Caenorhabditis elegans: one gene and its partner. The protein of the gene in region 1 purifies or fractionates together with the protein of each later gene. This does not show direct contact. Each region holds a gene or a part of one and is shown on either strand. Other genes may lie near its edges.

Region 1 (8,963 bases):
GCCACGTGGTCATTGCTGAAAATTAGCTGTTATAGATGGGGAGTATATGAAAGTTCATAAGAAGACAATCCAAGAGCAACATTATGCAGCAGAATTGCATTATTTTTTGTTGGAAAGTTACTTCTAATAGTTTTTCAAAAAAATTCAGTAAAGTCATACCGAATAAATCGAAAAATGTGTTATCAAAAATCACAAAGGTTTCAGCATTTTTCTGCTCACTTATGGACTTCCAACCTATGAAAAATGGGAAGAAGTCTTCTTAAACTGTGCCACTACAAAACTTTCCTCAGAAGAGCAAGGAAAGACGATCTGAATTCAATAGTTTTTTTTTCACTACATTCAATGCCCGTAAAATAGCACAGAAAATATAATTTTGCAGGTTTTTTACAATTTAACAAGTGGTTAAGGATAGGAAAACATTCTGAAAGCTTTTTGGAAACTTCTGTATCAATCAAAAACTTGTAAGTAACTATGTATAATGTCGGAAATCTTTTTAATTCTGAGTATACTCTAGGGTTTCAGCTTTATCACGAGCTTCTGGATCTTTAAAACTGAAAAAAGCCTGAGCGACAAAAATAGAAACACAAAGAAATTCAGTTTTTCCAGATTTGGGGGTCTTCATTTTCCTGAAAATTTTAGAACACAGCTGCCAATAACACATACTTGGTATTTTTGTAGATAATGGTCCCTTTACAATATGTTCAATTGGTAATGGTTTCCCATATGTGAATAAAAAGTAATTTAATAAACTTAAACCTCCTAAAATTTTCAAAATCTCAAGTTGAAATTGTAAATTTTCAGTTTTCAAAAAAAAATTAACGTTATCAAGAAATTTTGAACGCTTAAAACTCGAATCAATTGAGAAACATTTGAACAAATAAATTTCAAATCGTGTTTAAAAAAATGTATCCAATTTCAGAAGGATTACAATAATTTCAGATTTAAATAGTAGATCATATACTTTTAACACCTGCGATTGTTATCTGATCTACAGTTTCGATAAGAAAGGTGTTGACTGCTGCTCCAACTCCCCAAATTGGTGACGAGAGCAGATGGATCCGCAGGAAGTACAAATTGTTCTCCATCTGCAACCAGACATTATGTGCCACGTGGTAGTCGATTGAGGTGCTATAAATGACCAGATATTGACCGTTTTTGGAATCTAATTACAGACAATGAACGTATTCAACTAACAGCTGTATAGAGTATGTGGGTGTCTGGTGACTTATGACTTATATGGTTATGACACTAAATTTGAAGAGTGTCGAATATTGCAGCAGATTTGCAAATTCCCCATAATTCGAGGTATTGTTTGCAACAATAGATATTATTGTTCCTTATAATTCATCAAACAATATTAATCAGCATTTTGCATTTGTTTGAAAGTACCAAATTTTGTAAAAGCCTTGAATAGGGATGGCAAACCGAGCGCCCTGTTTTTCAAAAGTAATTTCTCGAGTTTTAATTTGGTTTTAAAAAAACGATGTTCAGATATTGGAACAAGCCGAAACTATCGAATCAGCTAAAAAACAGGCAACGAATACGACAAGTATCCGTAAAACCAAACTCCGTAGTTATTCCGATGCGCCGGCTATAGTTCTGCTCACCTCTGAAGCAAATTCATTGGGCAGATTGATGGTATAACTAAATTTTAAAAAAGCTAAATAAATTAAAATGTTCAAAAATGATTCGTCAGTTGACATTTTTTGATAATAGATACATCAGAAAACATATTATACAAGTTAATACTGCATGAATTGAAATGTAAAAAAAGAGTTTACAATGGGAATGTAGCATAAGTACCACCCACAGTCAACTGCGAATTTACGACAAAAAATAAAGTTACAAAAGTTTAGAAAAAACAATGTAATTATCAGTTTATCTGATATCCCGTATTTTTATATCTTGGTTCACTTTGGTTTTATCAAAAATTTGTCAACTGACAAAATACTTGTCACAATTTTTTCTACATTTTACCAGTAAAATTTGTTTTAACTAAAACCAAAGAAAACCGAAATATAAACTGTCAAAATAAAACAATGGGGATGTAATTTTATTAGGTAAAATATGGTGACAATAAATAGCCAATATCAAATCTACAAAAGAGGAATAGTTGATGTACACTACTAATGAAAGCAAATGGTATAAAGAATACGCCTCTTTGCATTATTGACCGACTACCGTATGCTCGTCAATCAATGTTTTGCTAGGAGAAAAGAGCACGTCAGTTCAATTGTTGAGGACTGTAGAAATTGGTGACAGATGTGATGAAAAACGAGAACATGATTATCAATTGGATTACGTGGGTACTTTTTTAATTGAAGTCACTAACTATAAATAAAACACTTGGAATTTCTTTTAGCCGGCTTTCTCGAAGTTCATATGTTGATAAATATAAAAATAGAGTTTCAATATTTCTATTTGCTCTAAATTCTTCAAAACTACCGAAAAATTAATTATTACCCAATTAAATACTATAAAAAATTAATTTCTTAATGAGACCTCTTGAAACCTTCCTGCAATTTTTTTTGACGGTTCAAAACTTTTCAATTTTCCCAGTTGGTCCGTGTCGCAGCGGTTAAATTAAGTGGGTGCAAGAAAGGTAATAAAATTTGTGCACACTTAGCCATTATAAAAAAACAACAAAAACTCAAAATAAATAACCAAAATAAGCAAGATATAGAATTAATTGTATAAAAGATAATTTCCGGTCACTGTCAACAAGCTGTGAAAATTAGAAATTATAGCTAAAACCTATTTTATTGCAGTCCACTTGAACTTTAAAAATGATTAAAACTTTGTGAAATTTTGAAGAATTCGTATAAAAATTCGGTCTTATGAGATCAGTTTAAGTTTTGTAGTGAAAAAAATACATTTCAGTTCTCCAAGTAACACTGTTTTATTTCTTCTAACTATACGAGCAAGTTTCAAGTTCATTTACGCCCACAAAAATTTCAAAACTATTCTCCCAAAAATGTGTATCTTATTATTCACTACAGTAATCTGAGCCCATGTTTCTTTCAAAATGTTCATCCCCTCATTCCACGACAAAACGAGAATGTTTAGCTATTAACTGGCTGCTTAAAAATTCAAAAGTCTCAATGAAAGGAAAGGTAATCTGAGACTGCACTTTGTTTCCATATTTCTTCTTCTTCTTTTCAGCTCTTCTTATTTTTTCAAACTTCAGCCTCTTCGTCATTTCGTTCCGGTCTCAGCCATACTGTCAGGAGTCAGTCCGGAAATCATCATCCAATTAATATCTGCAGAGGCCCATCCTCACCTCCTAACAACGTGAGGGCTCCTATTTCAAACGAGAAGCTACTCGAATTCGACACTTTTATTCTCGCCTATAATTAATCCTCAACACAAATTTCCCTCCCACCACCTCATCCCAAAAGAGCTCTACAGGTGCCTCCCCCTCTTGGACTGTTGTACCGTACCCCTCAACACAATATTGCTCGATTAGCCCCGCCCATTTGGTCTTCTAGGAACGTTTGCAAGATGAGTAGTATTCCACCTTATTTCATGACAGACCATCCGCCAATTGACACTTCTTCATATTTCGATTGTTATCAACAACATCAGCTGCCACTTCAATATACATTCACTTCATCTTCAAATTCAAACACCTCTAACTCTTCAACATCGCCTTCTCACATCTCGGATCAATTTTCATCATCTGGAGGTCCGCCCTACGAGCTTTCGTCTCATATTCTGACACCGTCTTCTGTAATTCCGACTCCTTCTCCGTCGGTGGCATCTGCTTCAATCAGCTCACCGACTATTCCAGCTTTTGGGTGCACAATGTCCGAATATTCAATGGAACAGGTTGGTTGTGGTATTAAATTTTTAGCGAGGGAAATCAAATATCAGAACTTGAAAAAAAGGTTTCTACTCGAAGTCTAACTATTTCGAAATGTCACAGTTTAGTGCTGGAAACCTGGCTCTGGACGATACGGTGTTTTTTTCAGGTGTTTTTTGACAGTTTCCATGATAGTTGACTTGTTGTAATAACTGGAAGCTGTGTTTTGTTAATAAAAAAGTCTAGAACGTGGAATGAATTCTCGAAAAAGTACCACTTGAAAAACAAAACTTCCGGGTTGCCAGCCATATCACAAGCCGACTTGTTCGCTTTTAATGTTCTCAAAATTTTCGTTGAATTTGAAAGTTTAGTGTTTCACAAATTTTTTTGGTGATAGATGTGTATACCTAACAGGCTTACCGCAAATTTCACAAAGTCAAAAATACATTCAAAAACTTGTGAAATCTTAAATATTCATAACTGTCTCAAAGTAACTTTTTTTAAAAACATGTTCAACATGCACATAGATCAACTGTAGTTTTTATGATTCTTGAGTTTCATCTAAAAACTCAAATTTATTCCCAACAATTTTAGATGGAAGCAATCTCCACATCCCTGTTTCAAGCTAGAGATGGTGATCGATTGGTAGCATTCTTCAAGCAGTTGGAGTCATTGTACGGACCAAATGCAGTAGATCATTTGCGAAGTGAAGCTATCATCGTAGGTATGTTTGATTAGATAGTGATATTTTTGAAAATACTTTGTTCCGCAAGTATCTGATATAGAACTTTACAAAGACTCATTTCTTCAAACTGATCCATTTTTTGCTATAAGAAATTTCTAAAAAATATCCTATAGCAGAAAAAGTTGCTCCCGTAATCCTTCCGACTTGAAAAACTGCGGTAATATCTGCTGTCAACACTCTCACTATTGCTATGTATTTTAGTTCTTCTATATCAATAACGCAATTTCCTCGATTTTGAATAATACCTCATTCGATTGCGTTATATCCTGCTCTTCTCAAATTCCAAACCATTTATTGCGTTGACTCTTTTTAGTACCCGCCATTCCATCTAACCCTATTCTCCAATTTCAGCCTACACATATGCCTTATATCATTCCAATGAATTCGAGACACTCTTCCACCTTCTCTCGAATCGACATTTTCAACAGCGTCATTACAATGATCTACAAGATATTTGGCATCATGCAAGGTACAAGGAAAGTCAGCTGAAACGTGGCAAAGAACTGAATCCAGTGGAAAAATATCGGCTGAGACGAAAGTTTCCGGCTCCGAAAACAATTTGGGATGGTGAGGAGATTGTGTACAGTTTCAAGGATTCGAGTAGGAAATTTTTGAAACAATTTTTCCGCAACGTCTCTGAATATCCGACCCAGGAGCAGAAAAGAGAGATTTCAAGAGCAACAGGACTCAAAATTGTACAGGTTTGTGAGAAAAATATTAACTTCAAAATTGCTTATTTAGTCAGTAAATTAAGGAGAAGTTAGTAGAATCCCTGGGTAAAACTTTTCACATTTTAACTGACTATGTACAGTACTTATTACCAGCTGCCAAGTCGTAAACGCTTGCGTGCTATCCTTGTCTGAGTTGAGTTTGCTTATATTTTTCCAACAATGATTGTAAAAAGGAATGCGTGAAAAGACAGTTGCCGACTAGTCGCAACTGAGCAGACGGCTTCTCCGAAAGAATTTGTTTATAAGATCTGCAAGGTCAAATTGTAAGGATCATAAATTATCTGTTTCATTTTATTGTCAAATTTCGAGTAGAAGATTAGTGTGATTACAAGGATTCTATGGTAGAACAAACTAAAATAGGATCTGAAAAAGCCGGAGCGTAAATTAGTACATGGTAAAGTAATCTCGAACAAATTTCAATTTTATTTTTCAGATTTCAAATTGGTTCAAAAACCGTCGCCAACGGGACAAATCGAACAATTCAGCCAAATGCTCCCCACCTTCCAGCTCGAGCAGCACTAATGGTGGCAGTGACTTTCTTCCAATAATAACTCCGCAAAGCTTTAACTTGGCAGCTGCTCCATTCAATATGAACATGATCTATGGTACATTACGTGACAGTCAGTCTGATAATGATCAATTCACTTTCAATCCGTAATTTTTTTTAAAATAAAAGTAAAGTATTTACCCATTGTATATTTGAAATGCTTTAAAAGTGCAAAAAGAATAAACTGTTATTTTTAGAAGTTTGCCAGGCTATAATTTTTTTTTTGATATTTAAATCTGAATTCAAGAATCTGGAAAAATATCAGAATTTCAAGGTTTCTTGCAAGGTTTTTTGAAACACTGAAAAAATAAAAACAAATTTATTGAAACAAAAAACCGTAGCACATATTGCGGACATAAATAAATAGAGACAAAATGCAAGATCACAAATAACCCCGAAACAAAATATATTAGAACTTCGTAGATGTCGGATATTGGCATACTATATAATCTATCCAGTAAGTGAAGTGCTCAAAATCTCCTTCGCCTCCTTCTTCACAATTCGACACCGAATCCTTCGTTCCAGCCATCTGAAACACCTCAAAATCGGAGGATTTTTTAGAATCTCGGAGCTCAATGATACACTCACTTTTCGAATCGAACTTTGCCGAAATAGGCCAATGTGTTGGTTGCCGAGTTGAGAATGACAAGGAAGTCTGAGATTCGCGTGACTTTTGTCATGAATGGGCCGAAGTTTATACTGTTTTCAATGAGAACCTCGTAGAGATCAATCAATGTTGGCAGGGATCTGAAAATTGAAAATTTGAGCTACCAAGTTTTTATGTTATGTAACAAAATAATTAGTACTGTCTTGGCATTTGGCGATGATTTCTTGCTCAAGGTAAACACTTGGCATGACGTTTTTTGACCGCACTTCAAGTTCAGCCCAGGCTTGATTCAACTCTTGGCAATGCTTTCTAGGTTTAAACAACACAGAATAGTTCGGACAAAATATTGGAAATAGTTGGATCATATTTGAGTTAAACATAGAGTATGGTCTAAACAACGCACAGTTTCTACATCTCTTGCAAAAGCTTTGCCACCTTTTGAACCAAGTTCCCACTTTTGGGATCAAACTTGGAGTGGCCAAAAAAAGTTTGAAGTTCTAGCCTATACTCACCTCAAAATCAGAAATTTGACAACAATGAACACAGCTAACGCCTTCGATGCTTTATCCTTCAATTCCTCCGTCACCAGTGTGTTTCTACTTCTCTTCTGACTCTCAAAAAGCCTCCTCCGTTCCTTGACATTCTGATGCATTTTGTATTCAGTGAACAATGACAGCGTGGAGATGAAAAGCATTGGTCCCAATGTCTCTGTTGTCATGGTAAGGGCAACTTTGAATTGAAAATACTGAAACAATGGGATTTATAGAATAGAGTGAATAGATGGTTACGTACCCAATAAGAATCTCCTCTGAGTTGTGTCATCTGGAGCATTTTTGATTCAGTCTGATGAACTTCATCAAAGCATGTAATAAGGTTGAATTCAAAGTAGGAAGTGCTATGAATGACGAAGCAGAGGATTACCAGAAGGACTGAAAGTATTAAGTTCAATATTCAGAGAGAACAGAAATTTTAGTGAATTTTGTGAAATTATTTCAAAAATAATGTATTTTAAACTATCAATTAAGTATGCAACACTAGTTATTATGACGAAGAGTGGTCTAAAATTCGGGATTCTCCTTTTTGAATAATTCACTTTTCATTCCTTTTCCGAAACTTTCAAATTGTTGCCCTTTTCACATACTTGGAACTAGAAATGGTCTGAAGAATCTTCTGAAATTTGCTCCTCTTTTTCCAGCATTGCTTCTGGTGTGAAATTCATAGAACATTTCGGCTGGAAATGAAATTGTGAACTTTGCCGACTCTGTGGAAGATGGCTGAGCAGCTGTGCTCATTTTGCTTGCAGATATTGATTTTCTCTAAAAAATATGATTCCTTAAATTTGAAAACAAAATGTGTGTCACTACCGATCTTCCATAATGTGATGCAAATTTGAGTGGATTGTTGACAACTCTGTATCGGATGTATGTGATGTAGCAAACTAGCATCGGCTGAAAAATAAATCAAAAATTATTAAATTTCCTTTTAAATTTTGCATACCGATGACATGGCAAAGCTATTCCGTATTCCATACAGAATAAGAATCATATCCTGATGTTGGTAGAAGATATTGGTACGAAATAGGAGAATACTAAGAGGTTCAATGCTTAGGAAAAGAACGGTAGTCATCGTAAGCATAAAATCCATGAGACACAAAGTATATAAAGCTGCTGACATTCTTCTATTCAAGTGCCCATTTCGAAGGAATCCAATAGCATAGACAGTGCCAATGGCAGAGAAAATTGCAGCGGATATTGTGACGGGGCCCTGAAGAAATATAATGTATTTTTTGAATTAGTTCAAGCATTTTCTGAAAAGTATAGTACCACTGATTTCCGACGTCACATATCAATCCCTGGTTAGTTTTTTATTGTTCGAAGTCCCTAAAAAGCGTTTCCCCTAATCCGAAAGTCGTCAATTCTTTTCCAGAAACATCTATAGCTTTAGAAGGATTAAAACTTTTCCAAATTTAGACAGTCTAGAAAAAATTTGCAATATTAGTCGGCTGGAGGAACACAACATCATAATCTCCTGATCTAATGAGATTAAGGATAGAGGGAAATAAAAAATGATGACTGTTAAAAATAATGAATCAAATAAATGTATGTTTTGATGACGATCGAGAATTCTAGAGTCCAGTAACCAGAATTAGTCCAAAACCAGAATTATGAAATTTAAAAGTTTAAAATTTAAAGATTTCCGAAAAGTTAATGATTTCAAAAAAAAATCAAAGTTTGAAAATCAAAGAAAAATGAACCTTTCTAGTTCTATGGTATTTTAGAGTAACCACCAATTTTGAAACTAAAGTTCAAATAATTTTACATCAACAAGTACGACATATTGCTCAAAATATCAGAAATTGAATTGTCAGGTGCACTTAATTATACCCCAATGTTTGGTGGTTCTATAGTCTGAGCCTGCCTGCCTGCCTACCGCGATCAAATTTTTTATTGTCGAGTTACGCTACGGCAGCAGCCGGGAATTTTCCGGAATCGACCACCAAATATCCTATGCAATTTTGAAAGTTTACCAAA
Region 2 (8,806 bases), on another chromosome or scaffold:
AGCACGGAAATCAGTGACGAATGAAATTCTCGAAACAGGACATATCAAAGCCGACCAAGTTCAAATATTTAAAAGTACGCTAGAGGTTGGTTTTTTTGCTTGGAAACCATGTATCTGAATAATTTGAAATTCCGGGTATATGTCAAAAAATTCTCATAGAGTGGAAATCTCAACTGAAACATTTTGTTTTTAAAACAATGTTTTTGAACGTAATTCTCAAAAAAAAAATTTTAAACAAAAGCTAAAACAATAGCTAACTTTAAAAAGACAACCTTTTTCACAATTATTTAACATTTAATTACATCTACATTAAAATGTTTATTTAATGGAATTTTAAACCTACCGATATCATTTAATTTCATTCTCCGCATCTCGGTCAAAATAATGTCAATAATTCCAGGAAATGAATGACGAGCGAACGTCAAAAAACCACATCAGAGACATTCACTCAAGAGGAACCACATTTGGCATCAACATTCAAGACGAAATTAAAGGATTGCAGGTTCATTCCTGAAGCTGCATTTTCTTTATTTCCAAATTATTTTGTTTCAGAAAGACCATCATTTTTTGGATGCATTCGCGGTGGAAAGTGACAAAGAGAACAACTCATTTGCAAATGTTCTAAAACTTTGCGATCTACCTGGACTGTTGTCTAAATTTGTGGACGATGAAATTCGGTTCGAGAAAGAGGTCGCCGAGTGTAAAGCGTTTCTGATGGATCTCATTGATACGAGCACCACCGGAGGGATTAAACCACTGTTTATCACTGATTGGGATGGAACTATGAAGGATTATTGCTCACAGTATGCAACAAATTTGCAGGTTTGTGTCTTAAAATGAGCTGAAAAAGTTAAATTGTGTAAACTCAAATGGACATTTGAAAATACATTTGTTCAAACTGAAAATAAATTTTAAACGGCAAATTTTTTCTGGAGAAAACATAACTTCGAAAAAAAAAGTAAAACCGAAATAAATTACATTTCAGCCGGCCTACAGCGCTATCGTAATGGGTGTCTTCTCTCGTCTCTTCACCCGAGCATTTGCCGTCCTAACCGCAGGGCCTCTCCGCCATCCTGGAATCCTAGACCTCACCGCACTCCCCATCAACGGGCCGGTATTATTCAGTGGATCTTGGGGACGCGAATGGTGGCTTGGCGGCCGACGAATAGTGCATGATGATGGAATTCCTGAGGAAGGAAGTGTTGCAATTGGGCAGCTCTGTGAACAACTGGATGAGATACTTCATGAAGGGGAATTTGTGCAATTCGCGTTGGTTGGAAGTGGTGTACAGAGGAAAGTCGATCGTCTTACCCTAGGAGTTCAAACGGTTTTCAAGCAAGTTCCAGAAGACCTCTCAGCTAGATACATTGATGCAGTTCGTGAACGAATCCATCGAGTTGATCCCAACAGTCAATATTTAGTATTAGAAAATTGTTCACCGTTAGAAATTGAAGTATGCGTTCATTCGTCAGGTAATGCTCAATTTTGAAATTTATGATGATGATTTTCGAATTACAGGAGCTGTTTGGAACAAGGGAGATGGAGTTGCTGCTTTAGTGGAATCACTCCACGACTCGTTGAAGGTTGGAAAAGTTTGTGTCGCAGGGGACACCGCGAGTGATGTTCCGATGTTGAAAAAAGCAGCAGACGAGAATCCAGAGGTAAGATTTTGAATTGAGATAGTATGTCAATTGAACCACTATTAGCATACTTTTGAATATTTTTCGCTATCAATAAAACAACAGTGGACAACATCATACATATTAAGAAATCATAAGATCGCGAGAATGCCTACCGTTTTGGCGCGGGAATATCTCGTTGCGAAGGCACCTAAACCACTGGTCATCGCATGTTCTCTGTGCTATCGCTATTTTTGCGAAGTAGGCATTTTCATGAACTGATAGCTTCTTAATAGCTTGCACGTGGTGTCATAATGTCCCAATTCGGTTTGATCTACTTAGATCTACGAAAAACGCGGGTTTTAAGACGCAGAGTTCTCAACTCTGATTTTACATTGTTTAGAACATGATGACGTCACATTTTTTGGCAAAAAAAAATCCCGCACTTTTTAGTAGATAAAATTGTGATGGGAGAGCCTGACTCCACGTGAGCCGCGTGAGCTGGAATAACCTCGTAGACACGCTAGTAAACATTTCTCTTATTAAATTAAACTTGTATTTGAAATAATGCTAAAATGCTAAACACATCAGATAAATTTCTTGAAAACTTATTTTTTCCAGAACGTTCGAGCCTTGTTTGTCAATATCAACAAGCAGCTTCAAGAGAACATCACAAATATTGTTGGAGACGCCAAACGAGTCTGCTTCATCTCTTCACCAGATGTTGCTCACGCTGCGTTCGCCCAAATTATTTCAGAGTTCTCTGGATGAAAAATGAAATTGGATTGTTTCCCAACCATTAACTATTAAATATTAGAGTGGTAGAGAGGTAGAGAACAACGACAACTTGTTGTTTCTCAAATGTTCAACCACCCATCGTAACTTGCAATCAATGACCGCTGGTCAATGGTCAGCAAAGGCGACGAAACCTGTCTCTCTCTCTCGTTTTCTCTACGACCTCTGCTCTCTCTCACTGTTCCTCTTCTCAGTTTCTGCCACGTGACGTTTTTTTTTTCTGATATTCCATTTTTCGTTCTTCCCTCAAACTTCAATTGATTAGAACTGTAAAAATACCAAATAATTCAGTTATTGTTTTATAGAAATCGGTTTTATTAGCATGTTTTTATTGTACCCTCATTCACCAAAAATTCCTCATATTCGAATAATTGTTTAATAAAACTAGTCGGGTTTTGCTTTCTTTTTCCCCCCTGATTCAGTCCACTTTTCAATGTGTTTGTGAACTTCGTAGTTTTTTTTGTTTCAATTTTTTTTCAAAATTCAATTTCTAAAAAAGATATTTTATTTTTCAAAGTATTGTTTGTTTTTCGGCAATCTTGATATTTTAAACTAATAAGTTTCAAAGATTTTGCAAATTTTTTCAGAATGCTTGGCCGGGGCACATCTTTCAATCGGTTTTTTAGACACCGGCGTCAGTTCAACAAACTTTCGGGCGCCACTTCAGAACATCAGAGGACTAATGAAAATCACTCTTATTGTAGGGATCTACCACGAAAACTTGAAAATCTATTAACTAATGTTTAGACAAGTATGCATATATTGGAGGAGCCGCAACTGCTGGAGTGCTCGGATTCAAACACTTTGTGAAAACTGCAAAGCTTGATCACGCCAAAGATGAGACGATGTCAGAGAAGAAATTGGAGAATCTTCAGATATACAAGCAGGAGGAGGTCAAGAAACATGGAAAAGACGCAGACAGGATTTGGGTTACGTACAAAGATGTAAGTTGATTATTTTCAATTAGGACTCTTATGTCGTCCCCGAAAACACCCCTCTCACGCCACAATCCGAAACCTTTATAGCGATGCGCGGAACCCAAAAAGCGTCGGACGTGGAGTCAACTTTGCTACAAATAGTGTCATACTCTATGCCACTGTTTGGTGCAAACTCCGCGTCCGACATTTTGTGGGTTCCGCGCATCGCTTTGAAAATTTGAATTGCGGCGTGAAAGCGGCACCCACATGGGAGCCCTAATTTCAATTATTCAACTGTCCAGTTTTGGCTGACTGGACAAAATGTAGTTTTGTGACTTGGTTACAGGTTTTTAAGGACTTTTTTCGAACGCTTAGAACATTTCAAACTACATATATGCGTATTTCCAAATTGATGCTTGTTTATAAACTGGAATTAATAGTTTTCTTATTTTTACAGGGTGTCTATGATGTCACAGATTTCATTGCCATGCATCCGGGAGGTGACAAAATTCTGCTTGCCGCCGGTGCAGCTGTCGACCCATTTTGGGCTCTCTACTCACAGCACAAGACAAAAGAGGTTCTCGAGATTCTCGAAGGATATCGAATTGGCAAACTTGATGTAAAAGATGTTCCGAAAGTAAGTTCATGGAGTAGAAAAGAGGTGGCATACAATCCTTTATTGTGTGATTTATGAAATTCTGGTAACAAATTTTTTTGTTTAGATTGATTTTGAAGATTTAAGTAATGTGAGTTTGGTTGATTTTAATTAGGGTCCGGGTACAAACGCACCCAAAATATTGATCAATTTATCCTCTTATCTCACCTATGTTTGTGTTTGTTTTACAGCCAGTCGCTGACGCATTCTCCAATGATCCGGAACGTCATCCAGCTTTACTCGTGCGTAACTCGAAGCCCTTCAATGCCGAAACCCCTCCTTCCCTGCTTACCGACCACTTCTACACACCCAATGAACTGTTCTTTGTACGAAATCATCTTCCGGTTCCTGATGTATGTGAAAAGGGGTTGTGTGTGTAGTGAAGTTTTACGCTGGATTTTTTTTTAGATCAAAACTGAAAACCATCGATTGACTGTGGAAACCATCAAAGGAAAAACAGTGGATTTGTCTGTAGAGGAGCTCAAGAAGAAGTACAAGTCATATACAATTGGAAGTGTGATTCAATGTGCTGGAAATAGAAGAGCCGATATGAATCAGTATAAGAAAGTTCAAGGACTGATGTGGGAAGGAACTGCAATCAGTAATGCCGAATGGACTGGAGTTCGCTTGAGAGTAAATTTGAATTTTAAAATATGAGATATTAATTAATAAAATTCAAGGATCTTCTCGCTGACGCAGGAATCGACGTTTTCGACGACAAGATCAAGCACGTCCACTTTGAAGGAGCAGATGTTGATCCGACTGGAACACCCTACGGAGCATCAATTCCCATTGAAAAGGCTCGTGGAGATGAAGTCATTGTCGCTTATCACATGAATGGAGTTGATATTCCGAGGGATCACGGAGCTCCTCTGCGGGTCATTGTGCCAGGTACAACGGTTTTAACATACTTTTATTTAAAAAATTTTTTCTGATAATCGTTAATAAAAGAAGTCATTCAGGTAATGTTGGTGCTCGACAAGTGAAATGGCTCAGAAAAATTATTGTTAGTGAGAAGGAAAGTGATAGTCATTGGCAGCAAAAAGATTATAGGTTAGTAATAAATCTCCAGAACCTACAAACCATCCAATTTCAGAGCATTCTCCCCAGCTGTCAACATTGGTGACGAGCTGAAGTGGAACACAGTTCCATCTATCCAAGAGTATCCTGTTCAATGTGCAATCTGTAGTCCGGCTCCAAATACCAAAGTTGATCGTGGTGACGAAACTGTGGACATCTCTGGATATGCGTGGAGCGGTGGTGGCCGTGGAATCATCCGAATCGAGGTTAGCGTCGATGGTGGCGAGACGTGGAACAGTGTCGAGATGGAGCAAGAAGAGAAGCAGGATCAGGAGCACATGTACGCATGGACATTGTTCAAGGCAGAAGTGAAAATTCCTCCGGGAGTCAAGGAGTTCAATATTATTGCGAAAGCAGTAGACAGAGCCTATAACACGCAACCAGAGACTGCCAGTGGTATTTGGAATGTTCGTGGTTTGATTCATAATGCCTGGCATAGAGTTCCCATTATTGTGAAGGATTAAGATTTTTTTTTAAATTCCGTTCAGATCTCGTAGTTTTCTTTTCCCCTAGATTTTTTCTTGCTTCAATTCAAAATTTGGCCAGTTGAATCTTTAATTTGAACCAGTATTGTCTTGCCCCTACCCCCGTTTGATTTAATTGCAACAAGTTACGAAGTTTTTAGATCAACTGTGATAGTATGAATAAATGTTTTATGACAAAATATTTTTTAAAGGTTTAATTACGAATGATGTAGGAAAGGACAATGGCACGTTGAAAGTTACACAATACTATTACTCAAAATTAATCATGTCATTGATGGCTGGACACTGGAATCTATCCCTGGTTGTGATGAATGATCCGGAGACAAATGTTGGTCTTGCCATGTTTTCCCAGCTCTGGCGGGAATCTTTTGATTCAAATTCGAATGGCTCCCCGTTGGATTTCAAGCAGTTCATGTTCATGTTTCCAACATTCAACACATTGTAAAACTCCTCATCAACTCCATTTCCCCAGTCCTTGACGTTGCTGTACATATCCGAAATTTGCATTCTCTTTCCATCCATACCATGTCTGAAATATGATTGTAAAATTGGATGCATTTTGTTTCGATAATCTCACCGTTCTGAGAAGTAGGCTCTCAACGTACTATTAGAAATTGCTGATTTGCAAACTTCTACATCAGAAGCTGGGTAGTAATAAATATAGTTGACGCACATCTCATCCACAATTCGATATCCACCAAACGTCACTTTTGATCGTTTTCTGGTATCGTAGACGCATGTGGTGACCAGTGTGTCTCCTGGCATAACCTTAACCACTGGTCGAAGCTGTTGCAGATGCTGCCAATGAGGGGAGTAGTGTTCATCTCGGTTCACGTCTCCAATGCGAACTCCAGATCGATATTGAGATGTGAACAGTTTTCTGCCGGTTAGATGAGCGTGCAGTTGACTGGCGAAAATGTTGATTCCCTCCTCGGGAAGCTGGAAATTTCGATTTTACAGTTGAATCTGGTATGGATTTTGAGAGATGTGCGGATTTTTTAAGTTGAAAATTTTTTATTAAAACTTTTCTCCCAAGAAAACGAATTTTGTGTACTCCCTAAACAGAATGTATCTCAATCAGATTTGACACAATAATTCAGGCAGGCAAAATTCAGCACCTCAATATTTTGATGTGAAAGCAAAAATAATGTGACTTTTGAGAATTTTAAAGTATTTTTTTTTTGGTAAAAATAATCGCTATAATTTTTTTCGGAATTCTATACAAAAATACATAAAAGTCGCAATCTAGGTACACAATTTTCAATTTCATAAGTATATCAATTTTCAGATTTTCAGAAAACTACCCACCACTTTTGATTTATTGTGTTTGTTTTTCTTAAGTATACATAGCTATATATTTTCTGTAAATTTGTTCAAACGACTTACATTTTTAGTGCATTGTGATGGACAATATCCATTCATGGCCCATGCTTTTTGATTTGGTGGTACTGAATTTGCATCGGAGTATATTAAACCAAGTTCCATAATTCCTGCGTCGTATTTTCTGAATTAAGCTGTTATTATCATAAATTCCTATCATAAATTTGTTTCAAAACACACCTGAGTTGTCCGGTTACAAAGAACTGAAATCCGGAAGAATCAATAACTCCTTTGTGAAGTTCTGGGTTGTTATAATGAATTTCAACCATCACATATGCATTCTTTCCTTTCCCTCCGATTGGGAGTCCTGCTTCTTTCGGATAATGAATTGGACCTTCTCCCATTGCCCATGCAGCAATGACATGACTGCATGACTTTGACTTTGGCGGCTTCTTTGGATCGTTACAGCTTCCACTCCATTCTTCTACTTCATCTCTACACATGAAGATCTCCATGTGATGCACCAAATGCTCATTTCCAGGTGTCACGTATGGTTCCATTCTCACTACGTGGTACATGTTATTGACGGTGTCAAATGGCATTTTACGAATGATACACTTGTATGTGGTCTCCACATTTGGAATCGGGTCCGGGCTATTGCTATTCACAATTACGACTTTCACATCTTTCTCGAGAGCGGCTGGTTCTTCTTCAATATTTGGCTGATCAGTTGGACCTTCGATCACTTTTCCAAACTTTTTGTCCTGCAAAAAATTAATAATCATGAATTAATCATCTAAGTCACTCCATACCACAACCCATCTCTTATCCCGAATATCTACCAAATTCGTAGATCCCCAGGAAGCGGCAATGTAGAATTGAGTGGTTCCTGGCTAAAAATTTGACTTGAGTTATAAATTGAAGACAATTTTTCAAATGATCATTTGGAAAAAACAAACACAATTTCAAAAGATTGAAATTTGCGTAAACTAGGAAAATCTTTTCAAAAATTTCTCGAAATTGTTTTTAGCCTAACTTAGCTAAAATGTTCAATTTTCGTAAACCCAGAATCTAGCAACATCAACATGAAAACGACCAAGAATGCACAGTGACGTTATACTTGAATGTAGGGCTGAGCTCCGATGAGGTCGCCGCATGTATAGTGCGGCGCGGAACCCCGAACGTGTCGGCCGTTTCCAAACAACTACCTCTTCGCTTTACGTTTTGCACACAGCAAGCTACTCATTTCACGCCAAGCTGCGAAACCTCAAACATGTCGGCCACTTCAAATAACTACATTTCACACTTTGCTGCACACACACAGCGGCGCGCAACGTCGGCGTACGGCCCCCATTTCGCGCCTTACTCAGCTGGGAGCCCTACTAAAATATACAGTAATTTCTGCATCTCAAAAAAGTCAGTTTGTGCCATGAAAAAAACTTCCATTTTCCATACTTGAACATTATCAAAACCACATTACCAAAAATGCATAATCTCTCGAATCGCAGGTTGTTAACTTTCTTCTGACAACAATATGGTCTTTCCTTTTGCGAAGAAGCTGGAAATCTTGCTGAAGATCGGAGGTAATTTTGAAATCTCTATTTGTATATGCATCCTGAAACTTTGTTAACCGTTTTTATAAAATCCTTTGGTTTTCTACCTTGATTTCTTTTTTGCTATTATAATACATTAACACATCAGAATTATTAGTGTCTCCAAAGTCTGAGAATCCCAAAAACAACACATCCGGCGTACTGGCGCCAAACCAAATCGAGAAATCAACCAACTGGCGTTCATAATCGGTGTGCCACTTCACTGTAACATTTGTGTGGTAGAGTTCAGCAACAATCTGAAGGAATTTCGTATGAAAGTGACGATTGCTATGGTTACCTCGCCAGCGTGGACAACACCGCCACAATACGCGACGAGCAGGAA

Evidence for each region. Proteins that work in one complex are often made in the same cells at the same time.
Region 2: the proteins of unc-39 (region 1) and suox-1 fractionate together in Caenorhabditis elegans (co-fractionation; one large-scale study listed by BioGRID). This does not show direct contact.

What each region holds. Positions count from the first base shown.
Region 1 is NC_003283.11:14,369,864-14,378,826, forward strand, and holds unc-39 (Homeobox protein unc-39), read left to right. Parts: upstream 1-3,210; 5' UTR 3,211-3,525; coding exon 3,526-3,828; intron 3,829-4,396; coding exon 4,397-4,526; intron 4,527-4,898; coding exon 4,899-5,248; intron 5,249-5,604; exon of another isoform or gene 5,605-5,625; intron 5,626-5,711; coding exon 5,712-5,936; 3' UTR 5,937-6,018; downstream 6,019-8,963. Other genes in the region: npr-43 (G-protein coupled receptors family 1 profile domain-containing protein), read right to left, coding at 6,276-6,363, 6,414-6,572, 6,945-7,177, 7,225-7,361, 7,574-7,748, 7,797-7,880, 7,930-8,196. UniProt on the Caenorhabditis elegans protein: Probable transcription factor required for differentiation and migration of neuronal cells, such as RID and CAN neurons. Specifically, plays a role in the terminal differentiation of RID peptidergic neurons. Also required for CAN neuron axon guidance.
Region 2 is NC_003284.9:15,494,554-15,503,359, forward strand, and holds suox-1 (sulfite oxidase), read left to right. Parts: upstream 1-3,001; 5' UTR 3,002-3,002; coding exon 3,003-3,114; intron 3,115-3,161; coding exon 3,162-3,358; intron 3,359-3,788; coding exon 3,789-3,968; intron 3,969-4,053; coding exon of another isoform or gene 4,054-4,101; exon of another isoform or gene 4,102-4,177; coding exon 4,178-4,339; intron 4,340-4,394; coding exon 4,395-4,619; intron 4,620-4,666; coding exon 4,667-4,877; intron 4,878-4,948; coding exon 4,949-5,039; intron 5,040-5,082; coding exon 5,083-5,530; 3' UTR 5,531-5,726; downstream 5,727-8,806. Other genes in the region: gob-1 (Trehalose-phosphatase), read left to right, coding at 1-85, 401-502, 553-822, 986-1,472, 1,519-1,661, 2,241-2,390; tbh-1 (Tyramine beta-hydroxylase), read right to left, coding at 5,801-6,080, 6,129-6,490, 6,938-7,055, 7,112-7,635, 7,684-7,764, 8,352-8,486, 8,532-8,720, 8,762-8,806.